4 linked regions of the Drosophila melanogaster genome follow. Changing the gene in region 1 together with any one later gene gives a genetic interaction. Each region holds a gene or a part of one and is shown in the gene's direction. Other genes may lie near its edges.

The links.
Region 2: of TkR99D (region 1) and Ggamma1, changing one suppresses a phenotype caused by changing the other (phenotypic suppression), as found in Drosophila melanogaster (one study listed by BioGRID).
Region 3: of TkR99D (region 1) and pain, changing one suppresses a phenotype caused by changing the other (phenotypic suppression), as found in Drosophila melanogaster (one study listed by BioGRID).
Region 4: of TkR99D (region 1) and en, changing one suppresses a phenotype caused by changing the other (phenotypic suppression), as found in Drosophila melanogaster (one study listed by BioGRID).

Annotation. Positions count from the first base shown.
Region 1 is NT_033777.3:29,966,080-29,972,049, reverse strand, and holds the start of TkR99D (Tachykinin-like receptor at 99D), read left to right. Parts: upstream 1-2,602; 5' UTR 2,603-3,067; intron 3,068-5,970. UniProt on the Drosophila melanogaster protein: Receptor for tachykinin-like peptides.
Region 2 is NT_033778.4:8,899,147-8,905,910, forward strand, and holds Ggamma1 (G protein gamma subunit 1), read left to right. Parts: upstream 1-2,286; 5' UTR 2,287-2,376; intron 2,377-2,990; exon of another isoform or gene 2,991-3,181; 5' UTR 3,182-3,201; coding exon 3,202-3,414; 3' UTR 3,415-5,645; downstream 5,646-6,764. Other genes in the region: ana2 (anastral spindle 2), read right to left, coding at 1-169, 221-974; CG13751 (uncharacterized protein), read left to right, coding at 1,196-1,429; MrgBP (MRG/MORF4L binding protein), read right to left, coding at 1,504-1,694, 1,747-2,161; CCT8 (chaperonin containing TCP1 subunit 8), read right to left, coding at 5,883-6,432, 6,497-6,764. UniProt on the Drosophila melanogaster protein: Guanine nucleotide-binding proteins (G proteins) are involved as a modulator or transducer in various transmembrane signaling systems.
Region 3 is NT_033778.4:24,921,404-24,930,412, reverse strand, and holds pain (painless), read left to right. Parts: upstream 1-2,137; 5' UTR 2,138-2,168; intron 2,169-5,771; 5' UTR 5,772-5,780; coding exon 5,781-5,999; intron 6,000-6,059; coding exon 6,060-8,057; intron 8,058-8,124; coding exon 8,125-8,649; 3' UTR 8,650-8,908; downstream 8,909-9,009. Other genes in the region: CG30427 (uncharacterized protein), read left to right, coding at 443-641, 695-934, 1,003-1,134, 1,215-1,340, 1,396-1,513. UniProt on the Drosophila melanogaster protein: Receptor-activated non-selective cation channel involved in detection of pain sensation due to high temperature. Involved in heat nociception by being activated by noxious temperature of 38 degrees Celsius.
Region 4 is NT_033778.4:11,523,057-11,530,815, reverse strand, and holds en (engrailed), read left to right. Parts: upstream 1-2,605; 5' UTR 2,606-3,145; coding exon 3,146-4,457; intron 4,458-5,590; coding exon 5,591-5,688; intron 5,689-5,968; coding exon 5,969-6,217; 3' UTR 6,218-6,810; downstream 6,811-7,759. UniProt on the Drosophila melanogaster protein: This protein specifies the body segmentation pattern. It is required for the development of the central nervous system. Transcriptional regulator that represses activated promoters. Wg signaling operates by inactivating the SGG repression of EN autoactivation.

The DNA of each region.
Region 1 (5,970 bases):
CCGAAAGTATGCAAAACATTTGGCGAATTCTTTTGCATTTTCCGAGGACTTGTGGCTTTTTCGCCGCGGACCAAAGGGTAATTGGAAAAACGTGGCTGCCTAAGTGGAAATTAAAACAACCGAATGTTTCACATAGCTGGCGCCAAATCCAATTTGAAAGGCTTCTGTCTGTGCTGGCCATTTCGGTGGTCAGCACGGCCATCGCTAATTGCCGCGAAACACTCATGCAGAAACTGGCTAAAACCGCAGATGCGGCGCAGTGAGCGAGTTTATTAGAATGCACAATTTATGGAGCATCATTTAAAATTTCATAAACTCGCTAAAAATGTTTATACAGATTAAAAATGGCTGGGCATATTGCATGCTTTACAAATGAGTAATGATATTTGGAAAACAGATTGAATGATTCTTTTGATTCGTATCAACTAAATAGATGCTCATTCCAGCTGACCCTGTGGTGTCTGTTGGTTTTTCCAATTTATCCATCACATTTACAGCGACAGCCGCCCAGGACCGCCGAATGACACGCACTTAAAAACAGCGGGATACGCGACCAGATAGCCTGGGGAAAAAGGAAAATTAAATTTCCAGCGGCCGTGCGGTGGTCATCAATCAAACCACTCGTCACATGCTGTCGGGGCTGGCTGGTATTTAGCCAAATATACATTTTGCCAGCATAATGTTGACAAACAAATTATCATTCTGGCGGTCAACGAGGGGGCGGGGGCGGCAGGGAAGGATGATGATGATGAGGTGCAGGACGAGACGGGCTTAGCGTTGATTAAATGGGGTCATCAGCAGGGCATGGCACTGGTAACGAGCGTTATCCTTGCAGATAGTTAATGATGCCCAGCTGCTCGGGATATTGGCCATTGCAGGCGTACACTCGGACTCGCAGCTCGGTGCGAGCCACCAAGTTCAACTTGGTCCATCATAATCATTATGGATGTGTTCAATGGACTGCACGTCAGCGAGAGATAAAGAAATTTAATGACCTCCTGCTTTCACTGTGTATCCTCCTTCCACAAAATGTAAGACGAGAAAATAATCTAAATGAGACATCGCCTTCAAAGCGTTGGAAAATAGTTACCTAAGCTAGTTAAGTTGACTTGTTTCATCTTGGATCAGTCGAATATGTGTGCCAAACCATGGTGTAGGTCATCTCATTTTACATGCAACCCATTCGTTGCTCAGTTGTTACAACTAAATGGAGTGATTGATGGGACATTGATGCATGTGCAGCGGATGAAGTTGCGGGATTCCATCTCCGCCAGCAAATTAAGACGTCCGAATCTGGCGAAGAGGGGGAGGCATTTCGGATTCATTGCTTACTTTAGGCATTTTTGGCCAGATCAGCCACCAACACCTGCGGCTGTCTGGTGTGAAAGAGCCAAGTCATTTGGCCAAAACTAACAAACATACGCTCTGCACTGAAAACAATTTCTTTGTATGTATGGTAATTGTAAAATTGTAATTGTTTTATCAAAATGTAAATAGAGACATATTCTGTATGGAAAATAGGAGAATTTGCGGTTTTATACCCATAATTTGGCTAAAATCATAATTACAGTCAGTTTTATACATGTTTTTTGGAGCCTGTGACCTAAGCAATCGATCCAAATCACTTTTTAATTGATTTCGAAAAATTAATTTTTGGACCAATTTTCGCAAATTTGATAAGGGGTACCATCATTAAAATTTGCTAAAATTGGCCAAAAATTTATTTTTCAAAATCAACAAAACTTGAATGCCAATCGATTAGGCATGCAATTACGAGCTCAACGAGGTATTACATTCTATATTTTGATAAATTAATCCAAAATTTTTCGTAGCCTTTCCACTTGGGAAAGTGGAATTTTAATGGGAAATGGGAATTTTAGCCTTAGGACTTGGCTACCTTAGCAAAAATAGCAAATCACTTTGCACTGATAATCAAGATGTGTAATCTATTTCAATGATATACCCCTATTGAATTTGTAAACATGCATTCTAAACCTAAAACAAATTATTCGAGTGTATTGATAAACATCTTCCTTTGAATGTGGTATTAAACGCTTTGAAAGTGCTGTTTTGGAAGCGATATATTCATTGTGCATATGTGTGTATATTTTGTAAGACATCTTGGTCATTTGATTTTCCGCTTGTGCGTGGCGTGCACGTGGCAGAATCGCCGGAGTCCGGATTGTTTACGAATAGCCGTATGACAACAGAGAGCGAACGAAGGCAGAGCGAGAGGAAAAGATAGGGCGCAGGCGTAGAAAGAAAACACTCGGCAACACTGGTGAATTTGGGCGGGTTTCCGTTCGATTCCGTCGCAGATTTCAACGCTTTTCAAATGGAAACGTTGCTCATTGCTCCGATAAAATAAAAGGCCCTCAACGCAAAGGGGTTACGTGAGCCCTAGTCCCCAGTGCAACATCCCAACATATGCAACAAGCGGCCGGAGTCCCCGAGGTCCACGGGAACCCCCCCCGCCGCAGAAAAAAAAACCGCCCACTTTTTTGTGGCCCTTATTATAACACCGACATATCAGCGCGCACAGCCTCAGAAAATTCCGGCTGGCATTCAGTTTTCCGCTTTCCGTTCAGTTCAACGGCAGACTCGCGCGCGTACGGTTCGAACTGAAAAGGCGACGGGTCCGGATTTTTTGGACTTGTCGGTTCTCCGGGTTCTCGGTTCCTGAAATTCGCTGATGATAGGTGATAGCTGAAGCTGGCGGAGAAGTGTTGGAAAAATGCTGGAAAATCAGCTTAGAGCTGGCTGAAATGCCGCCGGCAGTCGATCCGTAAACGTAATTGAATTCGGCCCAGTGGATTGAAAATCAAATTCAATTTCGTAGCGAGCAAACACGCAAAAACGATAAACTAGTCGTTAAAGTGAATATACAAATTGGTGTTTTGATTAAAACTAATAAACATAAACACCGAAACCACAGAGCAGCAGAAGGCGAGCAGCGGAATTTATTTTTAAATACGATTTCTTTGTTATTCGCTGCCTGCAATTGGCTGACATTGCTCATACGCCGCGTTGGCCGAGCGAAGAAGTGGGGATTTCAGCATAGTTCCTGGTAAGCGGTCTCCCACTGCCCAAAGTATTTTGTTTTTTTTTTTTCATTCTCTTTCCACTCATTATTGTTTTTCCATATTACAAAAACATTGTTTTCGGGAGGTGGTGGCTTGAATTGCAAAGTTTATTGCACAAACCAAACCGAAATTGGTTTACAAGTTTATGGAAATTCGAGTCGCCAAAGTAATTAGAAAACTGCTATTTGTGGACAACTTTCGGCTGCCCTGGTAACTTTAGCTCGAAATGTAATTACATCGAGAGCCTAATCAAGTGACTAACCCAATTCGAAAGATCAAACTGTAGGCCATTCCCATTCATCCCGATTTTCCACTCAATTTGAGCAACGAGTTCCACGACTCCAGTGAGCTGAGAAATAGTTAACCGATGGCCAAAAACCATCACACCCAATTGACTTTGCCCGATGAAAAGGTTCTCCGATGATCTCAGATTTCGGAAATCTGGTCGGAAGAGCAAATCTCCTGGAATGACAATTAATTCGATTGCGATTTGCGTTTTTTAGGCCCACGGCGGAATGGAAATAATCTTTTTAAATAACGCACCAATTCCGTACATCCTGTGCCATAAAATAAAGTAAAATAAAATAAAACCGTGCGCATTGGCTTATCCCTTGGGTATTTTCACATGTGCCCAGCTCTGATGTTTATAATGCAAATAAGCAAAGTGTTTCAAATGTATTTATTTTGGGGTCGAAGGCGTTTCAGCGCTGGTTGTTTTTTTTTTTAAGCCATTTAATTTTAAGGGGAACGTAAATAGAAGCCTTAAATGCATGCAAACTTCCTGGCTGGATTTTATAGAGTTCATACACAGTTGATATTTAAGAAAAATGTAAACCAAAGGCAAACGAAAGTGTATCTCTTCGTTAGATGTTAAAACTTGATTAAGTGTTTGAGCAGTTAATTAATTGAATTTAATCAAGTACTTGTGGCCAAATGAACTCCACCCTGCAATCAATCGGAAATTTAAGTATAAATCATCAATCAAATCAAGGCATTCATTACCTCGAAGGTATTTCGCTTGTGAACTCCCGACATAATTGCCACTTTAATTGAAGAAAATTAATTCACTCGAAGTGTCCATTTCCAGCTTTCCTTCGAATTCGAAGTGAAGCGCTTTCAAGTGAATCCGCTGGCCAAACAGCACACTTAATTGCTCCTCCGAGATTCCAGACATCATCTAACTCAATCAGTGGCTGGCACAACTTTCTCCGCTTCTAAATATTTAATGTCAACTATGATTAGTGAGGAGGCAAAGTCCTGTGGTTTTAGGCATGTCGATGTGGGATGTGGGCTGTCGGATGTGGTCGGGGGTCTTTGGATCCGGATAAATGGCTGTTTGGCGGCCAAATGAACGCATCCGCACAAAAGCTTTGCCGACGGTCAGCTGAGCAAACCGAAATCCTTTCAGCGCGAATTGCTTGCGGAGGAGCAGGAGGGGATCCGAGGCCATTAGTTGGCCCCAAAAGGCGGCCTTTAAAGATTCAGGCAGGCGTGAACGGATGGGTATCTTTAAGCGAATACGAATGCGAATCAGTAATAAGTGAGTGGGGTGCCGTATGTTCCGTATGTCCAGTGCTGCTCCACAGTGCTGTCATGCATCAAAACATTTAATTAAATTGAAACCGATGCGGCATCCGCCCCACTGCTGACGTCTTTGCCCGGCCACACTGGACATTGGCCAGTGGACACTGGACTTTGGACATCGGAGCGAAGGAGGATGTGCTGCTGGAGGTGGAGGGCAGCATAGCAGGTCCTTTGGCGCCGGAGACGTGTGTAACTTCGGCTTTCTTCCCCAGCTTTCAGCATTCAGCATTCAGCTTTCAGCTGGACACCAGTTCACCATCTCCGCCCCGAATGAATTTAAATGAAGGCAGTGCCGGTCCTAAACAAGTCCGTGAATCATGTGCATATTTTAGCGGTGCTCAGTTGAGTTCGTCCCTCTTTTATGCAGCCCCATCGAGCTATGCAGTGTCCTTGTCGGTGGACAGGACGTGTATTCCACAGGGATAGCCTTTAAATAAATGGGTTAATTCGATGGCATTGTTCGCACACCCAGCACATGTGTCCACAAGACAATTGTCCAATTTATTGGCATTGAACAACTTTGTGTGTCTAATATAAAATGTTGCACATAACAATATGCAAATAACACTTGTGGCAGCATGTTATTTATGACTTTGTGAAGCTTAACTTTAATTTGGCATTTGGCCTTTGTCAAATATTTCATTTGATCGTAGATCCGAATAAAAATTCAATTTTTTCCCAAATGAAGTCGAGCGAATTGGTTAATATTTCCGGAGACGAAAAAAATCTATCAATTTTGAATAAGTGAAAGTTAAAAGCTCCAGCTGAGAAGTCATTCAATGGGCAAAAGCAATACAATTCAAAACTGAAATGTACTCAGTTGCCCCTCGGCCTCGCCACTGCTCCCCATCTTTCCACGCCGAGCAGATCTGCCAAAGAATATACACCGACTGGCAGATGATTGAAATGGGAGTGAGAGCCACAGCGCTGGGAATCGAATGGGGGGAATGGGGAATCGGAGGTAGCCTTTCTTCACTTCTGTCTCCGCTTTGTTCCTCAATTTACACATAATTGCAATAAATTGACTAAGTGGGTGCTGGGGCACTGAATTTATTGTAGTCCGAGTCCAGAGCTCCAAAGATCCATAGCTCCAGAGTCTTGGACATTTGGGCGGAACTGCAGCACCCGTCTATTTTCTCTTCTTACGTATTTATTTTTGCTCGGATTGCTAAGCAGGGCACACTGATAGAATCCGATAGCTGATAAGATAAGACATTGAAATGCCCACAGACCCCACTCATCGACTCACCAACTCACCAGTTCGCCAGCTCACCAGCTCACCAGCTTACCGACTCACCTGTTT
Region 2 (6,764 bases), on another chromosome or scaffold:
GGGATCCGCTTCGCCTGAGGCGTATTGGCCCGGTAGCCCGTAGATTGGGCGATCGGCGGATGTGGTCGAGGAGACGGAAACTGAGGAATCACTCGTGCTTGTGGCGGCGGCAATGGTTCCTCCTCCTCTGCTATGTAATCCTGCATAATGGGAGACAAGCGTCTACCTGCTAGGAAGGATGTTTTATTGGATTCTTTTCATACAGATTCAACGTACGCACCTTGATTGGTGGTCAGAATATCGCACTGGGTGCCAGTGGTACTGCTGGCTTTTGAAATGGCTTCGGGTTTCGCTCGCTGCTGTTGCTCCAAAATCATCTCGCAGAGATTCCGAAGCTGTTGCTGCTCATGGCGCACGGACTCCACAAGGGATACCAGAGCCGCCAGATCACTCTTATTGGCCAAGTTGCTGACGTCGATGTCGGAATAGACAACCTGGGGCAGTGATTTTCGCGGAGGAGATGGGTTGAAGGGATCGGTCTGTGTGCCAGCACAGATGGTGAGGACATCTGCGTTGGAGGAGCTGGACAAGCGCCTAGATTGATATGCCTGTTGCTTGGGCTCGGCATTATAGCCACCAGCATTGCAGTTCATATGATTGGTAGTCTGCTGCGCATCGCTTGCATAGTTGCGATCCCGGGGCATTACTTGGTATTCCTTCGAGGAGCACGGACTATTGCTGCTGGGAGCGGTGCGAGGACCCAGTTCTGTGGCCAAAATGGGCGAAAAGTTGACCCTGGGCAGCATTTGCTTCTTCCAGGACGCGAAGGTGGGTGCAGCACGAGGGGATGACTCCTGATGTGCATGATTTGGCTGCTGCGGCTGCATCTGCGGATCCTGCGGCGGCTGGCCAAACAATATGGATACCTCCGGCACGGTGGGCCCTATAATCTCATTGGTGTGGCCCATGGGCACTGCTGCACTCGGCCTGGGCGCTAGTCTGGGCAGCATATCCTCCGTTTCGGGAACAAACATTTGGAGCGTATTTGTTTATATTTGCCGATTAAATTAAATTCGAGCGGGAGAATCTGTCCAATTGGAAGTCGATCGACTTAGGGGTGGAACTAGGGCTGACGTAAAACGCCAACTTATCGATACTTTATCGAGTGTACCCTACACTTAGCCAAGTTTCCAAGTGCACGAGTCACCCAGCGGACTGTGTGTCATAGCAAAAGCTGAAATTTCTCGGGGGAAAAATGCCTGTTTTGGAGCACATCAAAGCCATGGCAGAGACTCCGACTCCAGCTGAGAACAGCCCTGCACCGGCAGACGAGAATGCTCCGCCCCAGGCAGTCCGGGAACTGACGCAGACCGACCATCTCAACCGACGCCTTCTCAAATCGCTCCTGGAAAACATGCAGGCCACCGAGGTTCTGGCGCAGGAGAACGGGAACGGCTCCAACGAGGAGGACAACGATTTCGAAGAATAAATCCTTTTATTAGAGTACAGTAAAACTAATGAGCTAAAACGGATCAACAATCGTCAGTTTCGGGCGGGGGTCACCTATATGCGACGGCGCTTGTTGCTCTGCACCGGCGGCGGCGTAGTGGAGGGGCTGATGGACTCGTTGGACATGGAGCCGCGTGTGCGCTTGGCCGGACGCTTGGGCAGCTGCTCCTGGGGCTTGGCGACGGGCTTTTTGTCGCCGTCCTTGGTGGAATTCGTCGGTACCGGCGTTTTGGTTGCAGGTGGAGCTGTAAAACAACATTACAAGTGAATGAATCCTGATGATAACTAACGAACTACCTTTGCCATTGGTCTCTGCTGTTGGAGGGGCCGACTGTGCCTCTGCAGCCTCCTCGTTGGCATGCACTTCCACCGTCTTTTTGGTCTGTAGCGTTCCGTAATCCTGCTCCGGCAGGCTGAACTCGCGCTCCTCGTTGGGAAAGGGCAGCGACTCCAGATCGTCCAGTTCCTTCAGCTTGTACATGGTGCCCAGGTGGCGCCAGATCAGCTCGCTGGGCATTTCACGGTTCAGCGACTTGGACAGACGCTGGACAATGCAGGACATGTAGAAGTGCTTGTTGATGCCCACCGGGCGCAGGCCTTCCATTGCATGGAACAGCTGCAGCTCTTCCTCGGCGGACCACTCGTGGTCGAGGGCGGCCGGTAAGGGGGCCGCCGTTCCGGCCACAGCCAGACCCTTGTCCTTGGCCATCATTTTGCAGAGCGCATGGAACTAAAAACTGATACGTATTGTATGTTTTTCTGCGCGAATATTAGCGATGGTATGCGGGTGCGCTCACGCACCCGAACTATCGCCGCGCGGCACATCACTAGTTTGGGTGTGTATCCACTTTTATTCGTCAACTTTGCTCGATTTTAGCCCGTAGAGTTCGAGATTTAAAAAAAAAAAAAACATATAAGCCGGAGCTGGTAATTAACAAATAGTGTGCAAATATAGTTATGTGTTGTGTGTGCATCCGTCGAAAACTTCACTTTTCCACTATAATCCCTCTGCTAACCACACGGCGCAGTACGCCTTCGTGTGTTTGTGTGTGTGTTCTCCTTCACTATTTCTGCATAAAAAACTAATTTTCGGTGTTCCCAACGAGTTGAGCAGTGTTTTTTGCACACAACTCGGGTTCTCCATGTGCTGGCACAAGTAGCGCCCACCGCCCACCACCACGCCCACTTGGGGTCAGTTAATAACCTTGCACTTGTTCGCGTCAAGGCTTCCAGTTCGGCTGGAAAGTTAATCAGCAATGCGATCGATGAAACCAATGCCTGCGTTCGGTTCTTTACATGTGCCACAAAATAACACATATGTTAATGCGTAGTGTGACTCACTATCTAGCTATCCTAACTTCCCGCCTAGTACTAAACACTGACTAAACTACACCAATCTACCAACTATCTCTGTCTAGAATCGCGAAAATGTACACATATGTTATAGCTTTGTGTCGCCTGTTCGATGTTGTGCCCGTATGGGGAAGCCTGTACAAAGAATGAGATATCTAAACTACATATAACCAACTTGTTATTTCCAGCCAGCCATTAAGATCCATCCAAACCAGTATTCCCAGAATCATACGATAAGATAAGCCAAAGCCAAAGATCAAAGACCAAGCCCTTCGGCGAAGCCACACAAGCACTAGCAACCAAGCACACCACCCCAAATCCACTATCCCGTAATTGCATTTCCCAGTATCCGTAACACTGAGAACCTTTTCAACCATAGGCCTATCCGAGACAGCCATCATGGACGTAATGTCATCATCCCTGCAGCAGCAGCGCGTCGTGGTGGAGCAGCTGCGTCGCGAGGCTGCCATCGACCGCCAGACGATCTCGGAGTCATGCGCTAAGATGATGAAGTACATCACGGAGCACGAGCAGGAGGACTACCTGCTCACCGGGTTCACCAGCCAGAAGGTGAATCCCTTCCGCGAGAAGTCGTCCTGCACCGTTCTCTAAGGAGGCGGTGAGGATGGTCCGCCGTTGCCGAGGAGTCAGCGATCGCCGGCGGACGTTTAGCTTATTTTTAGTTTAGCAAGATGGATTAGGACGCAAACGTGTGTGGAGTACTACCCCAGTACCAGTATCAACGCCACCTGGAACAATATATAGTTGTGCAGAAGCCACAAAAGCTACGATTGTCATAAGCAATATCATTACAAGAAGTTTGAATTCCAATTCTAATTCCAATTGCGAGGAATATATATATATATTTGAATCGATATATCAATGTGTACCAGCCACGTTAACAAGTAATGTCCGAAACCAGAAACACAAACTCAATGTCAAACCTAAATCTATATCTAAATCTAAATCGAAGCATTTGTTCCAAAGATATCAGAGTTGTTTCCTTTCCGATGAGTAACGCAGTTAATGTACACGAATATCCCAACTATAACGACAATTAATGCGCTGACTATAGCACCTACTACTCTACCTAACCCGAAATTCTATATATACAAAACTATCAACTTAATCCGACATACAAATTTATCAATAAACGCAAACTCAGTCGAAACGGAAATACATATGTTATATTTTGCCTTCTTATTTCGAGAAATATCTGTTGTATTTGTTGAAAATTGAGAAGATAACGAACGAGGCGAGTGTAAGAAGGAAAAGTTGTATTGAAAATATAAGTATTTTGAAGCTTATTAACCACCAGCGGGTGGAACGACACCACAAACAACAAATGTACGAAAATATCTTATTGAATTACTTAAAAGCTTTAACACGAAGCAGAAATGCTACCCACAACAACCAGCTAGTTGAACTTATCGCAATATTTAGTGCGTTTATTATCCAGTTTTTCTTAGTCAAAGTATATAACGAACGTTGCAATAAGCGACAAGAGCATATATAATACCAAATAACTTCAAAATGTAATCAATATTTGTCTCTTAGCATAGTTTCTTCATTTTAATTCACTACGGCGTAGCAAGCCGATATCCAATTGAATGATAGCAAAAAGTTTCGCAAGACCAATAACTTATTTCATTCCCGTAACAACACAACCAACACACAGATGTCCTCAGAAACTCGAAAACTGTCCGTTTCTCTAGTTTGGCGAAAATGCCGAGAAGAATGTGTGATTCTTCCTCCTCAAACGCATCCATTCTAATCATATATGTAAACGTGTTGAGCGCAATTAATTAAAGTGTTATTGGCATGAGAGAAAAGTAACCACACAAGCAAGTTATTTTTGTACAAACTAACATGGCATAGGGCACCTTTGTTCGGTATTGGAATGATAGACGCAATGATTATCCTGTAGGGAGAGCACGCGTATGATATCAGCATACACCCACCAAGTCGTACATACACACATATTGCATCCCGAACTTACGATTCTCGTCCCGCTGAGACGAACTGTCCAAGTCGCCAGCTCAGTGTGGATGGGAATGAGGAAGGTATAGTTTATTTGATCGGTTCTTCCAAAATTGCATTTAACAAGAGTTTTTGAATTGGCGGTGATTTTAGTTCCTAACGTAGCAAAATTCAGACAACGTTTACTTAGTACCAAGAATCACACGTTTTTGGAGACGGCATTTTCTATTCGGAAACCTATATAAAAGGTTTTGAGCTCCAGTTTGCTGTCGTGAGCAAACAGCAAAATGTGGTCCAAAGCCGCCATTGCGAAAGGCTTTCATGGGAGCCGCCCTATCAATCGAAACTGCAGTCGGTTACGGGAGTCCTCCCAGTTTCTGCTTAAACATTCCGCATTCAACAGTTTTCGATCCAACGGACACTTTGCATCCAAACTTTTTAGTTATCCCTGAATGTTATTAGCCCGAGGACAGCCGAACCACCCAATGGAGCACGGATGGTTTGGTTTCGTCCTCAGATGTGTCATTTTCTATAACTTATCCATAGAGGGTAAATCGCATTTGGAAAGGAAGGGCATTAGATGCACACGTACTCAAAATCAATCATGGTCATCGAATACACTTTAACACCTTTCACTTCAAATGAAAAGCGACAACGAGATCGTATTTTATTCGAAAATTAATACAACTCTTTTGCGATGCAAACGGGGACGAGTCCTCACAAATATTATTGAAATGTATCTGCGAATAAGCATTTGAAATATTGTACTCAACAAAATGAATAATCGTTTGCTTAAATTTCAAAAATAAAAAGCGATAACTTACTTAGATTCGTTATCTAGCGGTGGCACCGGGTTCGGTGCGAAAACCACGTTGTTTTATTTCAAAGGCCCCCGAAGGATCACGCGTTTCAGTTCAGTTTTCGTAAGTTAAGTTTATTAATACAAGAAACTGTGTGCATGGCTGTGTATGTGGGTGAGTGTGAGAGTGGTTAATGAAATTTATAATTTCCATGGGACTCGTTTATGAAAATACAATGCACTCTTTGTGGGAGCGGGAGAAACTAGTTATAGTAGGGAGTACGAATCACAGAGGAGCCGCTTAACTCTCGTCATCGCTGCCGGCAGCCTGTCGCACCTTGGGACCTCCGGCGCGCTTGGCCATGATGATCTGGTCCACCTTCAAGATGGTTGCGGCCGCGCCAACAGCGTACTTGAGACCCCAGAACTTGGACTGGTACAGATCGAAGAGCTTTGCCTTCGTTGTGTCGATGGTGCTGGCCTTCTCGGCCTCAATGTCGAAGCCGATTGTCTTTCCGGCCTCGTTGTTGTGGGCCAAATACAACTGGTTGACGATTTCCGTGCCATTGATGCCGGAGTTCTCGGCCAGAGCCTTGGGGAAAACTTCCAGCGCATTAGCGAACTTGCGCACGGCGTACTGGTCCAGACCAGGCAGAGTATCAGCATAGGCGGACAGCTGGGTGGCCAACTCGATCTCGGTGGCGCCAGCTCCGGGCAGATAGCGGCCATCCCGGGTCAGGCACTTGAAGTTGTTAATAGCGTCATCCAGGGCACGCTCAATGTCATCCATGAAGTTGTCGGTAGCTCCACGGATCACCACGGTGGCAATGCGCGAGTCCTTGCCCTCGTTCCTGCAATGATTCAATAAGAAATTATAATGGTATTTTCTCTCGCTAATTCCATTGAAAATCCCACCTGAAGGCCACAATTGTGGTGTCTCCCAGTTCCTCGATGCAAACTTTGTCGCAGTAGCCCAACTCCTCCTGACTGGGCGTGGTGATGCGCGGCAGGACAGTGGCGTTTACGGATCGGCTCAGGCGACGCAGGTCGAACTTAGAGTTGAGACGCACGGCCATCAGACCGTATTTGTTAAGGAAGTGCAGAGCCATGTCGCCAACCTTGCCGCCGGCCACAACCACCTTGACACCTGCGTCGGCGATAGCCTTGATCTGGCTCTCCAACA
Region 3 (9,009 bases), on another chromosome or scaffold:
GGCGCTCGAAAGTTTATCCTCAAGGAAAAGGAGGAGGATCTGCCCACTGCGCGCGTGCACATGAAGATGTAAGTTAGGCAAGAGCCTGTGCTACCCACTATGACTCACTCATCTTCACTTCCAGCCAACGAGTCGTAGACGTTGTGTGCAAGACGGTGATTGTGGGACTGTTCTTCTACTACCTCCTTAAGTGGACGGGGGTGCTGGCTATATTCTGATTCTAGTTCTCCGTGGACTTGCATTGGTTTGGTGGTCACAGGCATTTATTTAGTCAATTAGCTTAGTTGTAGTTACGCATATTCGAGGTTTTGAATCCAAATAAATATGATTGTAGGTTGTTGAATATACACATTTCGCCAACTGCGCCGTGTTTCTCTTTCCCAATCCAGTCACTAAAGCAGACTTTGTGTCTAACCATACTGACCTGTACTTTGTTCTCCAGTAACTCCAGCTGTCGCTGAGCCTCTGCCAGGTTGGGTGGACAATATGAACGGACCTACGGGAGTTCTCATTGGCGCCGGCAAAGGAGTTATCCGATCCATGATCTGCAACGGGGAGCTAAAATCTGAAGTGATACCTGTGGACATCGCCATTAACGGTCTTATCTTATTACCATATCATAACAGTCTTGCGGAGAAGAGGTAAATTTTTCAGACGCCTCCCATGTCAATGTGATGTATAACTTCTGCCACAGACCTCTTCAGATCCCAGTCTACAACTTGACCGTGGACGATGCCAAAAAGCGCACATGGAAATGGATAATGGATGTGGGTCGCGACTTGGGCATTAAGTACCCCTTCGAAGTGGGACTCTGGTATCCCGACGGCAACATGACGTCCAGCAAATTCTATCACACCATCTGTACCATTCTGTTTATGTGGCTGCCAGCCTACCTTATCGACTTCCTACTCCTGATCTTTGGACAACGTCGCTTGTAAAACCTTCAAAAGAATTTGTCAGTTCCGAATAAGAATCTAACCCAAAACTTTTCTGTTTGTCTAGCATGATTCGGGTTCAAACCAAAATCGCTGTGGGTTTGGAAGTTTTGCAGTTCTTTACCACGCGAAGCTGGGACTTTAAATCCACACACTTCGAGCAGATCTACAAGGAATTAGGATCCACAGATCGGAGGATGTAAGCAATATATATCATATGCATTCAATAGATGAATTCATGCATTAAATGGATTTATAACGTAACTTTATTTACGACAGATTTAAGATTAACACCGACGATGTCGACGATTATGAGTACATGAAAGTCAGTATTTTGGGTGGCCGTCAGTATGTGATGAAGGAACCTTTAACTTCGTTGCCGAAATCACGCATACAATTGAGATTGTAAGTAATTTGTTATTTCCATCTATAGTGTTTAACCAATGCTCTTGTTTTCCAGCATGTATGTCCTGGACCGTATTTGCAAAACGATGATAATTTCAGGCCTTCTATATTGGGTTTCCCAAAAACTGAGAGTAGTTGACCTATTTAGAAGCGTATTCCATTCTAGTACATAACATTCTTCTTCAGTTGCTTTTTTAACATTTTGTACCTTTTATTTCATGTGCCTTTGAAAGGGTTTGTAAGAAAATCTTGTTAAAAATATTCAGGTGTTTTGTATACGTAAACTTGTTATTGCAAGTCGTTGATAATAAAAATTTTTAAACATTAGGCTATTTGATTTCAATTTACTGTTACTGTGAGTTACTGTTGTATAGGTTATTTTTATTAGCACTATCTTGAAGTTATACAAATTTGTAAAAATACAGATGAGACGAGGAATCCAACTCGAGTCCCAAACTCTACAGATCTGAATCGGTTTTGTACCAAATTAAGGATGATGTTCCATTGCCGACAGATGTAGTGGAATGAATAGAATATTTAGTATCTTAAATCACTTGTAGCCGTTTGTTATTAGTTGGCTATTCGGCACACATTTAACTGCGAAAAATTTACCATTATTTTTTAATGCGCCCGGAGAGTCTCCACAAGTGTGCCCATATATCTGCCATTCAAATTCTAAGCTCACGAGACAAAAGAGTTATCGATCGATATGCAGGCTCTGTGTGGCCCCTGTTAGCTTTCTGTTAAATTTAAATTTCTGTAAAGTGCCCGCCACTGCGGTCGCTTTCACGGATCAGATTAGTCGTTGTCTGGATATTAACGAGGAAGGTAGTGATCGCGCATTAGTGTCATGCGTTATTTGCTTCGGCGCTGAGAAGTGTTTTGAAAACAGTTTTTGAAAGCCCGAGGAAGATCTCAATGGGTCAATGAGTCATCTCATTCACTATGCAAATAAGACCGGGGTTGCGCCAAACCTTTACTTAAAGACGATGACTCGCGGGGAAGTTAAGACGTTTTATTAGTTACTGCGAATGAATCATGTGTAATGCAGATCTGAAACCGCAGTTGCAAAGTGATCTCGACATCAACCCACACAACAAAAACATAAGCAGTGAAAACAAGTTTTAAAACATTTAACGAAGCAAGGTTAAGAAACTGCAGAAAACGGCGCCCACGGCGCAATCGAAAAAAAATTTAAAAAAAAGCTTTGTTTTAATGACGCCAGAACAGCTAATAAATTGATTGAATTGCATTTGACAAATGATTAATTTGAAATCTACATATATGCGACCTGTGACGTCATCGAAGTTTTTAAAAAAACTATTTTAAAATGCCTGGTGGGCAGATAATGAATATGCCCTAAAAGGCAACTCCCGCCGTGTCCACTTTTCTGTGAAGTGCTCGGATTGTGATACCATTCCCAAATACGAATTAAACGTATAGTTTTATTGCTGACCCGGCGAGTTTAGAAAATGTCGTGTAAGACGAGCCGATAGAGGCCCATGTTTACCCAACTCGGAACTGGGTTGGCGACAGTTTCCCCCAAGCACAGACATTTGCATCGAATTTAGGCGTACAGGGCTTCCGTTCCCCTCCAGAAGCGCTTAATATGCGTTTTTTATTGCCAATTACAATTAAGTAATCCATCGATTAGGCGTTATGCGGCATGTTAGGACCCTCCTCTGGAGCCCGCGCTCCAGCCTACTTACGACTGCAAAAACCGTGCGGCTGAATTCATTCGCTCGCTGATTTGGCTCCGCCCATCTAATTTTTGTATTCGTTTTCTACTGTTCGTGGGACACAGGGGCGTGGGCGCAGAGGGGCTTGAGTTGCTTGGACCGATTGGTAGGTGGTGATTCCTTCGGTTCAGGAATCCGTCCATCTAGCACACGAATTAGCTTTCGTGTGTGTTTCTGAGTTGATCTCACACATGTACTACGTACGTCCGAGTGTGTTTAATTAAATTATTTGAAATTACTGAATCGTGCGGAGCGGAGACTCTGTCTCCCCACTCCGGACACCCCTCCCAAATCTTTTGTTGTGCACACGATGTGGGCCAGTCAATTGTTTATGAAGTGCACAGTGGGTATATAGAGCACTGATCTCCATGTGGCAGGGGTATCCACTTTCGTGTTTTCGCTATTGCTCATGTGTCTGTGGGCTGTTCGCTTAAACATTTTTTCCGAATACAACTAAATTCTGGCGCTGTTGTTTTTTCGCGGATGCTTCACAAGCTCACTTCACCATGAAGTCAGCCCCCATCCACATCTATATCCACATCTGCAGACCCATCTCCGCACGCATCCATCTTAATTATGACTTTTTTACGATGACAATTTCGGGCTGAGCTTTGCAAAGTTGATTACACAAAAAAAAACTTCAGTTGTGGACTGTTGTCCCCAATCACGATCGCTGTTTTTCTGCCACTCCTAAGCATTTTCAAAGAATTTGTGTTTCTGGCTATTTCCCTTGTTTTTCCAGCCTCCAATTCAAGTGTAAACACAGCCGAACGATCGTCTGTTATTCATTAAGTGCAGAGAGAGCATTAAATTTAGCGAACAAAGTCTTTCGTTGCCAATAAACGGACTTTATGGACAAGTAAATTAGTTTATTGTATTTCAAAATCGCCCACTCCATGAAAATCTATAAGGTCACTATATAGCCGAAATGTTGGCACTCCATTCGTTCTGGCACGTACGTATACAACATGATAAACAAGGAACACGCGATTTTAATATTCCTCAGATATTTGTTTGAATCCGAAGCGACTATAATTATCTGCGCTGTTGCATATCCAGCTGTCGGTGTCGCGAACTCCCTTCTTTCCGACATTTTCCAGACTATCCCTCCGATCCCCTCTTGTTGGGTTTAATTTGGATTAAGTGACAGGCAGAAGAGAAAGCGAGAAAGAATGTTATCGGCGAGCCGAAGTTTATCTACCCTCTTGTGAAAATCAGAATATATTCTCGACTAATATTTGACTGGCATGTCAATTGTAAGCTGAAGCTCTGTAACTTCTCTATTCTATTGTGTTGTATTGAGTTATATATTGAGTTGTATGAACCCAATATGGTATTTTTCATTTATACCATTTTAACATTTTTGCTAAGAGCTGTGCACTTCTTCCGTTAAATGTTAGTCTTTGCTTGCTTGTTGTTTTTCCTGTGCAAACCTGATCGACGGGTTTTCTTTTGGCAGTCTCTAAGTGCATTCCACATCCCGGGGACATCGGTCCCCCGGTTCACTCGGCTCTTTCTGAATGGCGGTTCTGCTAAGTTTGATTACGCCATTCTGTCAACTGTCGCCTAAGACTTTGGGCCTGAGCAGGGCAAACAATAAAGTTGTTTGTCAATTGGTTTTACAAATAGCCTAGTGGCCAAATACGCAACACAAACAGAGGGGCCAAACAGTAAGCCAATTAGAGAAGATGATTGTGCGATTCTGTTTATCTTATCAGGCCGACCTTCCCACCTGGGGGGGGTCATTTACAAAACCCAATTTTTTGCCAAGCCAAAAAACTTGGACTGATTAGCCGTTTTCAACGGATGGGTCGGGTATATGTTTCCTGAATACCAATTCTTCGGCTGTTGATAAATAATCAGAAGTGGCGTATTCAAATTAGCCAGGTCTTGAGTGTGATTAGCAGATTTCTCACACATTTCAAGTATCACAGCGGTCAGTATCACTGTGGAAACGAGAATCCCCCAGAAGAAGCCGCCTTGAAATTTACGAACAAAGCCGCCTATAAATCTCACAATTTCGGCGCCCCCATTGCCTGAGTCGCCCCCAGGCTCCATTCGAGCCCCATCTAGAAGAGTTATCAAAGCGTAAAGCGCAACAAATTGATTGCTAATTGATACTGATGTGTCGATTATTTTATGATTATTCTTTATGATCGTTAGACGTTGATACCCGCACCAAACCTGATTCAAATTTAGTGGATCACTCCGACCGCCGCCACTGCTGGTACTGGGGGCTCCAGTACCCACGTCCACCGCCGACCTTGTCTTGTCTTCGCATGGATTGTAATAATTTAATAACTACACGGAGGAGCAAATTAAGACCGAATTCGGTACCACAGAAACCACTTAAGACGCTTTCTTTAATTGCCCCCAAAACGGAGATTTGGCTGTGAAGAAACCTGTAGGGCAGCTTTTTTCTCTCGCTCCGTTCCAGCCTCATGTCCACTCCATGTGAAAACCATCGTAGCATGAAGCGATGTCAAATGCCGTTTTTCGAGAGCTTCCAATTCCAACCTATTGTTTTTGACTTCCAAGGCCCTAAGGTCTAGTGGGGTCACAAAGTGGCCTGAGTGAGCAATGCGGGTTCTTGCTTCATTTTCAGCTTACGTTACTCATTCGACGCGAATTACCTGAAGTCCAGCCCACATAGACATTGCTCATCCGATCCGTGGCTGCTCTTTCTTTGCAGACCAAACCAATGGACTTTAACAACTGCGGCTTCATTGATCCGCAGGCCCAGCTAGCTGGAGCTTTGGCCAAGCAGGACATCCGACAGTTCGTTGCTGCCCTGGACAGCGGTGCCCTGGCCGATCTACAAGACGACCGCCATACCAGTATCTACGAGAAGGCACTCTCAACACCAGGTTGTCGTGACTTCATTGAAGCCTGCATCGACCACGGCAGCCAGGTGAACTACGTGAGTAGAGCAACAAGGAGTAGAGGTCGGACACCATCTAACCACAGTTCATCTTCACAGATCAACAAGAAGCTGGACAAGGCCGCAATCAGCTATGCGGCTGACTCTAGGGATCCAGGAAACCTGGCGGCTCTCCTTAAGTACCGCCCCGGAAACAAAGTCCAGGTTGATAGAAAATATGGGCAGCTTACTCCACTTAACTCACTTGCCAAGAATCTCACGGATGAAAATGCCCCAGACGTGTACTCCTGCATGCAACTCTTGCTGGACTACGGCGCCTCGCCGAATATCGTAGACCAGGGCGAGTTCACACCCTTGCACCATGTGCTGAGAAAGAGCAAGGTGAAGGCTGGGAAGAAGGAACTGATTCAGCTCTTTCTGGACCATCCGGAGCTGGATATCGATAGTTACCGAAACGGGGAGGTGCGCAGACTGCTGCAGGCGCAATTTCCGGAGCTTAAGCTGCCGGAAGAGCGTCATACCGGGCCGGAGATTGACATCCAAACTCTTCAAAGGACTCTACGGGACGGGGACGAAACACTGTTTGAGCAGCAGTTCGCTGAGTACTTGCAGAATCTCAAAGGCGGAGCGGATAACCAACTAAATGCCCACCAGGAGGAATACTTCGGACTGCTGCAGGAGAGCATCAAGAGGGGCAGGCAGCGAGCCTTCGATGTCATTTTGTCCACTGGCATGGATATCAACTCGAGACCAGGCAGGGCCAACGAGGCCAATCTCGTAGAGACGGCCGTGATATACGGTAACTGGCAGGCGTTGGAGCGACTGCTTAAGGAGCCAAACCTGCGACTTACTCCAGACTCCAAGCTACTAAATGCAGTAATCGGCCGTCTGGATGAGCCACCGTATGATGGCTCCAGCCACCAGCGCTGCTTTGAATTGCTCATTAACAGCGATCGCGTAGACATCAACGAAGCTGATTCCGGACGCCTGGTGCCTCTGTTCTTCGCTGTTAAGTACCGCAACACGAGTGCGATGCAAAAACTCCTGAAGAACGGTGCCTACATTGGTTCTAAGAGCGCATTTGGCACACTACCCATCAAGGACATGCCACCCGAGGTTCTCGAAGAGCACTTCGACTCGTGTATCACCACAAACGGAGAGAGGCCTGGTGACCAGAACTTTGAGATCATCATCGATTATAAGAACCTAATGCGCCAGGAGAGAGACTCCGGACTCAACCAGCTGCAAGACGAAATGGCCCCGATCGCATTCATCGCCGAGTCGAAGGAGATGCGCCACCTGCTCCAGCACCCGCTGATCTCGAGCTTTCTATTCCTCAAGTGGCACCGACTTTCCGTGATATTCTACCTGAACTTCCTGATATACTCGCTTTTTACCGCCTCCATAATTACCTACACGCTCCTCAAGTTCCACGAAAGCGATCAAAGGGCTCTTACTGCATTTTTCGGATTGCTTTCCTGGCTGGGAATCAGCTACCTTATATTACGGGAGTGCATCCAGTGGATAATGTCTCCAGTTCGGTACTTTTGGTCTATAACGAATATTATGGAGGTGGCTCTTATTACACTATCTATCTTTACCTGCATGGAATCCAGCTTCGACAAGGAGACGCAGCGCGTCTTAGCCGTATTTACCATCCTACTCGTCTCCATGGAGTTTTGTTTACTAGTGGGCTCCCTGCCAGTGCTCTCAATTTCGACGCACATGCTGATGCTGCGAGAGGTGTCAAACAGCTTCTTAAAGAGCTTTACCCTCTACTCGATCTTCGTGCTCACCTTCAGCCTGTGTTTCTATATCCTCTTCGGCAAGTCAGTGGAGGAAGACCAGTCTAAAAGCGCTACGCCATGTCCACCTCTGGGGAAGAAGGAGGGGAAGGACGAGGAACAGGGCTTCAACACATTTACCAAGCCTATCGAGGCCGTGATCAAGACCATTGTGATGCTGACAGGCGAGTTTGACGCCGGAAGCATCCAGTTTACCAGCATCTACACCTACCTGATTTTCCTGCTCTTCGTGATCTTTATGACGATAGTGCTGTTCAACCTTTTGAACGGTCTTGCAGTGAGCGACACCCAAGTAGGTCTATCGCCATTCGTATTATTTCCCTTCGCTAATCCCATTTCCGGCGTTATTCATTATCTAGGTTATTAAGGCTCAGGCGGAACTGAACGGAGCCATTTGCAGAACCAACGTCCTTAGTCGGTACGAGCAGGTTCTCACTGGCCACGGACGCGCTGGGTTTTTGTTGGGCAACCATCTCTTCCGCAGCATCTGCCAACGTTTGATGAACATCTACCCGAACTACTTAAGTCTGCGTCAGATTTCCGTGCTGCCGAACGATGGAAACAAAGTGCTTATTCCAATGAGCGATCCCTTCGAAATGAGGACCCTTAAGAAGGCTAGCTTTCAGCAATTGCCCCTGAGTGCTGCAGTGCCCCAGAAGAAGCTGTTGGATCCACCGCTTAGACTTCTGCCCTGCTGCTGTTCCCTGCTCACCGGAAAGTGCTCCCAGATGAGCGGCCGGGTGGTCAAACGGGCCCTCGAGGTAATCGATCAGAAGAACGCGGCGGAGCAGAGGCGGAAACAGGAACAGATCAACGACAGTCGACTGAAGCTGATCGAGTACAAGCTGGAGCAATTAATACAGCTGGTCCAGGACCGGAAGTGATGGAGAATGTATTTTGGTAGCTTTAGTATTTATGAGACTAATCAACCTTTTAGAACGATTTGCATTTAACATTCAGTTTAAAGAGCCGAGTTAGTCGGAAATTGTTTTTATTAACATACGAGTAATGAAATTGAACAAAACCCTTAATAATTGTCAGTAAGTAAGTAGTATATAATGGTTATATAGACAGTAAATATTGTATAAACGAATATCATTACTGTACTATTTGTACCCGAGTAAATATTTAATTTCAAATGTTAGATGTACGCTTTTTAGAGTTTTCATTTAGTTATTCGCTTTACTTAACCATCTTTTATTTTGATTTGATATGATTCGGTTCAAAATGTGTGTTAGTCACAT
Region 4 (7,759 bases), on another chromosome or scaffold:
TCGTGTGTACGTACGAGTATATTATGACTCGCATGTGTGGCCATTAATAACTCCCGATCGCCACTCGCCGGCACTCAGCACAGCGGACGGATTTACGCATTCGGCTGCGTAAAATATGAATTTTAAATTACCCAGTCACAGATTCAGTTTCCCGCTTCAGTTCCCATTTCCAGTTTCGGTTGTTGAGCCGAAGAGAAAATACGCTTTTGATGAGGAGGGGCAATCTTGAGTTGGGGCCCAACAGGGCGTGCATTTAATTTTACCAGTTTTCGATCCAGTTTTAATTTCAATCACAGTGCGACAATTGAGTTGTATCCTGTGATTACGTCCCTTATGCAATTGGCATTGTTATTGCCCAGCAATTTTGAGGTAATTGGATAATTTAAATTCATAACCAAAATCTTAAATAGTTTATATTGTCTTTTTGAGGTTGTAGTTTTTAATATATTTCCTAACCATTCACGTTTTAATATTCTATGTGTTACTATTCATTTTTGACTCTAACAACGTTATCTTATATTCTCATCATTTGAATTCCGTTGATATGATCGCACATATAAATCTACCGACATTAAAATGAAAATTTTCATGCAGCGTAATGTGTTTCTTTGGTATGTTTTGGCACCCTGACAAGTTCGTTGTTTGAGTCTTTTGTTTGGCCGGCAGCTACGAAGCTGAGAAAAAGCCATTAGAGATCGAAAAGTAACCGAAACAGAAATAGAAACAGAAACAGTAGCCGAAGTGGTGGAAAGCCAAAGCTCATTAGCAGTTACCATTTTATCCAAACAGACGCATCATTATCATTAAGGGCAAACGGGAAAGCAGCAAAAGCAGCCACAGCAACAATAGCAACCACAGCAGCAGCATCAGAAACAAGTTGAAAACTTTAATTAACGCATTTTTACGCAACTGTCGGCAGCAGTTTAACCCTTTTCGTGGCCAAATGCTGAGCAAACACGACAACGGTAATAATTGAAAATCATGGCAATCAAAGCGGAAAGTGTGTAGGGGAATGGAACGGTGTGGAAGGGTGGAAGTTGAGCGGAAAATCAACAGCTGCCGACGGCAACAGCGGAATGTGTAAGAGGAAGATGGTCAAAGGGGGTGTGCGAGAGAGAGGCAGCAGCCATTGTTGTCATGCGTGAGAGAGCAGGGCAGAGTGAGCGAGAAGCGCACAGTGCGAGAGCGAGTGAGACAACTATCTATTCGAAGTTCGAAATTCAAAAGGGGAAATAGATTTGGCTCCGTTCCAGTTTCCAGTTTTTCCAACTTCGACTTTTAATGGCTGACCGCAGACTGGAAGGTGCGTTCGAACCGGTTAAGATCGAATCGAAACGGTTAAGACCACTCAACGGAATTTCAATTTATGCATCTGAGCTGTTCAAATATATTTATTAATTTATATTCGATTCAAGTCCATTTGATACTTATAAAAATGCGCATAAAAATTGAATAAATTTCGGCCCATTGATTGTGGAACAGGTTAACCACGAAATTTGCTCTAAATATGGATTATGGCTTATTGTTTGGGCGTTAGTTTGTTGGCGCGAATTGCTTATGTCACAATTGGCAACAGGAAATGTGGGAGTGTGAGTGGTGGCGAGATTACTCTCTAATTAAATCCTTTGCCCCATAAATCAGTAGCCCACATGGCAACGATCGCTTTTATTATGCAAAAATTAACACAACAAAATCTGCTAGCTATAAGGCAATTCATTAGCGATTTCGTTATTTGATTTCGGTTTTATTCACATCGAACAGATTCGTTGATTTATGAGCTATATATCAGTGGTTATATGTTCGGAATCCCACATCTATACACTATTTGCAGCACATGTTTCACATTTGTAGATCGTCGGTTGATTAGAGCCCCACAAAAAAGCGTTATTGTTAATGTCCAATGCCAAATGGCGTTCGTTTTTAACACCTTCTAAGGTTTATTTTGACAGTTAGCGATGGTTTTTCATTCGCTCGTCTGGCAAATCGATATTCGATGGGCAAATAAATAAATTAAATGTCAATTAAATATCAATCAATTTCGTCAGCTGTTTTTCAAGGCACATTTAACTGGTTAATTGAAGGCCTCAAAAATAAATTGTCATCGTGTATTTAGCGTATTTTTGTGAAAAATCGCAAATGATACTGGTGGTGGGAGTGGGGGTGATAAAAAGTTTCCCTTCATTTAAATTAAAACAATTAGCTTTGCGGTTTTTTTCCTCTCTTTCGATTCCCCCTCTACACATGGCCTAAAGGTGGTGTCGATAAAGTTGTAGGCTGTAGAAAACGCAGATTGAAACGTCGCGGCCGAAAACAAAATCAACAAAAACTAAATGCTTATGAAAAGTGTCTGTGGAAAGAGATGGCATGTGGCTCTCCCCCTCATGGAAAGGCAGCCATTTTCCTGGCCTACTCGCAGAGGGAGTGAACAGTGCCGCTATATGACCCCCACTCGGTAACGCCCCGTGAGAGAGGGAGAGCTTGCGCCTGCGCAGTTCGCTGGGGACACAGTTGTCAACCGGCTGACAGCTCCAGCATGCGCATAATAAAGTCATATTGCTGCCTAACAAGCCCCCCTCGCCAAATTGGCAAGAGAGAGTGAGAGCGAGAGGGAGCGAGCGAGAGAGCGCTCTGGCCAGCTAATAGGAGTGAGTGAGCCGGCGAAACCGGTTCGCATGGGGCAGGTGACAAGGCTAAGAGAGAGCGAAAATCGATCAGTGTAAGGCCGAAAAGACACATCTTCTACTCTCATCTCTTCATGTCACTGTCACCAACTGCTGTCACTCACTCACTCGCTCGCTCGCACACACTTCGCCAGCTACTTGTGGGATCTCGCCCTCTCGCTCCCGCACTCGGACCTCTCTTTCCACCGTGACAGTTCAATCGGCTCTCGCGTTAACTCTCCCCGACGTCGGCGCTGCGATTCCGAAGTAGTCAACTAATTCAGTCGTTGCGCTCGATGTGAACAGACGTGCGTGTCGGAACAACAGTTGCAAATCAAACACGAAAGCATAAGCCAAACAAAAAACACCAAACAGAGAAGAGAATCAGAAGATTCTGAGCAATCAGAAGAATCAGTGGCTCAGTGTCAAGTGACCCAGTGACAAGTGTCTTAAGCGAGTTGCGATTTAGCACCAAGTCGAAACCAATGGCCCTGGAGGATCGCTGCAGTCCACAGTCAGCGCCCAGCCCCATTACCCTACAAATGCAGCATCTTCACCACCAGCAACAGCAGCAGCAGCAACAGCAGCAGCAAATGCAGCACCTCCACCAGCTGCAGCAACTGCAGCAGTTGCACCAACAGCAACTGGCCGCCGGTGTCTTCCACCATCCGGCAATGGCCTTCGATGCCGCTGCAGCCGCCGCTGCTGCAGCTGCTGCTGCGGCCGCCCACGCTCATGCTGCTGCACTGCAGCAGCGCCTCAGTGGCAGTGGATCGCCCGCATCCTGCTCCACGCCCGCCTCGTCCACGCCGCTGACCATCAAGGAGGAGGAAAGCGACTCCGTGATCGGTGACATGAGTTTCCACAATCAGACGCACACCACCAACGAGGAGGAGGAGGCGGAGGAGGATGACGACATTGATGTGGATGTGGATGATACGTCGGCGGGCGGACGCCTGCCACCACCCGCCCACCAGCAGCAGTCGACGGCCAAGCCCTCGCTGGCCTTTTCCATCTCCAACATCCTGAGCGATCGTTTCGGAGATGTCCAGAAGCCGGGCAAGTCGATGGAGAACCAGGCCAGCATATTCCGCCCCTTCGAGGCGAGTCGTTCCCAGACTGCCACGCCCTCCGCCTTTACAAGAGTGGATCTGCTGGAGTTTAGCCGGCAACAGCAGGCTGCCGCCGCAGCCGCTACTGCGGCCATGATGCTGGAACGGGCCAACTTCCTTAACTGCTTCAATCCGGCTGCCTATCCCAGGATACACGAGGAAATCGTGCAGAGTCGGCTGCGCAGGAGTGCAGCCAATGCCGTCATCCCGCCGCCCATGAGCTCCAAGATGAGCGATGCCAATCCAGAGAAATCTGCTCTGGGATCCCTGTGCAAGGCGGTCTCGCAGATCGGACAACCTGCTGCCCCTACGATGACCCAACCTCCGCTGAGTAGCAGTGCCAGCAGCTTGGCCAGTCCGCCACCCGCCTCCAATGCCTCGACCATTAGCAGCACCTCTTCCGTGGCCACCAGCTCGAGCTCCTCCTCGTCGGGTTGCTCCTCGGCGGCCAGTTCCTTGAACTCCTCGCCCAGTAGCCGACTGGGAGCCAGTGGATCCGGAGTCAATGCCAGCAGTCCCCAGCCGCAGCCAATCCCGCCGCCATCCGCCGTTAGCCGAGATTCCGGAATGGAGTCCTCGGATGACACGCGTTCCGAGACGGGATCCACCACCACAGAGGGCGGCAAGAACGAGATGTGGCCCGCCTGGGTGTACTGCACCCGCTACAGCGATCGTCCCAGCTCAGGTTAGTATCTATGCGATTACCTAGCGTTTAAGTGGGTCAGAAAGAGGGTTCGTCGGGCACCATCTTCAGTGTTGTCAAAACAAGGAAGTCCCAAAGGTTCGTTAAAAAAAAAAAGATGTGAAAATGGTAAATGGTATATGGTTACATGGGGACCACCCTTGGGGAGCGTTATGTTGGCGGCAGCCTTTCAAGCAGCTCTGTTTTGTGTCATAAATCCGAAGGACACTGCCACAATTAGGCGACACGCGGACAATGGCAATGAGCCCGAATCTGACTCCCATTTCTATAACCATGCCCATTCCCATTCCCATTTCGTATCCGAATCCGAATCCGATTTTGGGCCTCACGCAGTGCTGCGCTGCTTTTGAAGAGCGACACTTTATGTGACAACATGTAGCGCAGAGCCAGCGCTTGTCTATCGGAACTGTTAGATCCTCAGGTCGAAGGTCACCGCTCACGCACACACGCCACGCAGAAGCCGAGACCCTAAAACGCGCTGACGATTGACAGGGGAAAAGTAGGTGCGGGGGAGATATGATGGCGGGGGAAGCCCCTTCGAAAGGAGAAGAGTTTTCCATTGACAAGCGGAGATTTTCCTTGCAGCTCTTCTTAGATCGTGTGTTAATTGACGAGTTAAGTGCTTTTTTATGGTCGGCAATGGTTTTTTAATTTGGTGTCGATGCAATCGATGGCAGCCCATAAGCGAGGCGTTGATGGCCCCACTCCGCGGCTAGGAATTAATCAAACGATCTCCACTTACTGGCGGTCAATTAAATTATAATTTACAATGTGTGGAAATCTAATAAGCACTACGGATTGCTGCGGTGCCGCGTTGCCAATTAGCCGGTGACTTGGACTTAGTCGCTAATTAGAGAGTTGGCTAGCTGGCAAATCATTTGCCTAAAATATGCCGTAGACCTTTGGGTTCGTTAACTCGCCGGAGTTCTACTCTTCTCTTGCGCTGACAGCTGACAAATTGAACACTTCCCCGCCAGCACGCGAAAGGGAGCTCCAGCTCCGGCCGAGGAATTCCGCCCAGACATATGCTAATTGAATCATTAATATTATTAATAGTATGTGGCGCATTTATGCAAATAGAACTAACGTATTTCTCGTGTTTTTGTTTATTCCAGGACCCCGCTACCGCCGCCCCAAACAGCCAAAGGACAAGACCAACGACGAGAAGCGTCCACGCACCGCGTTCTCCAGCGAGCAGTTGGCCCGCCTTAAGGTGAGATTCAGTTCTTTTTTCCATATATGGTTATATGGTTATACCAATATCCATCCATATCCATATCCAATTGCCCTACGCTTGTTGTGTCATATTTGCACCAAAATATTGACACCGCCCGCTGCTAATGCATCCTGGCAATGTGGTGTCCCGTCCGTACTTAACCAATCAGCCACGCTCGGCCGAAACCGCAAATAATTGATTTTCCCTACCTGACTATACAACATGGATATCCTTGCCATCCGAAACTCATCCAGCATTCCATTTCTTCCACTTACAGCGGGAGTTCAACGAGAATCGCTATCTGACCGAGCGGAGACGCCAGCAGCTGAGCAGCGAGTTGGGCCTGAACGAGGCGCAGATCAAGATCTGGTTCCAGAACAAGCGGGCCAAGATCAAGAAGTCGACGGGCTCCAAAAATCCGCTGGCACTGCAGCTGATGGCCCAGGGATTGTACAACCACACCACCGTGCCGCTGACCAAGGAGGAGGAGGAGCTCGAGATGCGCATGAACGGGCAGATCCCCTAAGCGCTGACCAATGGTTACCCATAAGGGGTTACTCCTTCTGACGGGGGCGTGCAATATTCGAGGGCGTACAAATGGTTTTCATGTGATATAATTGTAGCGTACATATGTTTTTGTATATATCTCTAAAAATATATATATATATACGTATAATCCTAACCTAGAGTAAGACCCATCCGTAGCGAATTCGAGCTGTAAGTTGTTGGCGTATTTATTTAACCACCCCTGGATAGCCGAAAGTATTATCGTAATCACCCGACACAAAGCCTATCGCTATCGCCGCACTTCAAAAGCTTCGACCTTCAGACGTTTATTCCTACACAAAACACTATCTATAGTTATTACTCCCTATAAATTACGCGCTTGCAACCGCTCTGTAAATTAAGTAACTTAACAGTTCCCTAGCTTAATTCCTAGTTTACACACTTAAGGATTGCTATGAAAGAGTATTTTAGTTTCTAAGCGAAATGTTAACGAGCAACTAATAGCTGGCAAATGCACCTAAGAAAATAACAACGAAATGTTTGTGCTAAAGCAAGTTCATGAAAAGAAAATTAAAAACAAAATAAAAGAATTATGGAAAAAAATTAAAATGCAATTGGTTTCCTCTGGGAATTGGAAGTCTGCTACATTAAAGGAAAATATGCCACCCATATATCGGAGGACATGCGGTCTAATCGGTGGCCTTATTTGTACTTTGTGTAGGGCGCCATTATCTTCTCTACGCTTTTTCATCTGTCACATCAAAGGCTATAGAACATTAAATCACGAACACTTGTCGTCGGGCGAGGGTGCCGCTAATTGCACAATCACATTCCGAACCAAAATCGGAGGCCGTCGACGAGTAACGGCAGCTCTTGCTCTTCGATTCCATTCCGTTTAATTAAAGCCAAATCCGCGCGTAGTATAAACAAATATCTGTGACGAGACAGAAGCCCAACAAACAGAAAGAAAAAAAAAAATGCAAAACTAAAGCGGCAGGGAGCAGTCATCAAATGATTTATTGGCACAGATCTCGCGGCGAGCGGCGTTAATTTGCTGAAAATAAATGCAAACGCGAAATGCAATGCAAAATTGTGGGAGGGGGCGGGATGAGCAGCTGACATTTACTGGCAAGCGTTGATGTGCACATACAATACACACACACACATGCACGGCTGTATGAAGCGCATATGAATTGATGCCAAACGCTAATTGCACAGCTAGCTTGAGGCTCAAATCCATTCGCATGTCTCGAGGGGTCTCGCTTTTTCAGTTATTCAGTTACTCAGCCTTTTAGCCTTTCAGCCAAGGCGGATTCAAATCGGCCGAATTATAGAGGCGCAAATCCATTTGTGCACGTAATGAACCAATTAGACAATTTGCCCATTAGCAATACACACAAACATCGCCGCAATCTGTCTCGCCATCTGTCTATCTGTATCTGTATGTCTGTCCGTCGGTCGACTGTATCTGCAAATCGAATTAAATGGAAGCGGAAATCAAGTAAACTTTTTTATTAGGCACTCTGTACGTTTGGCGGGTATATGGGGATGAAGTAACAGA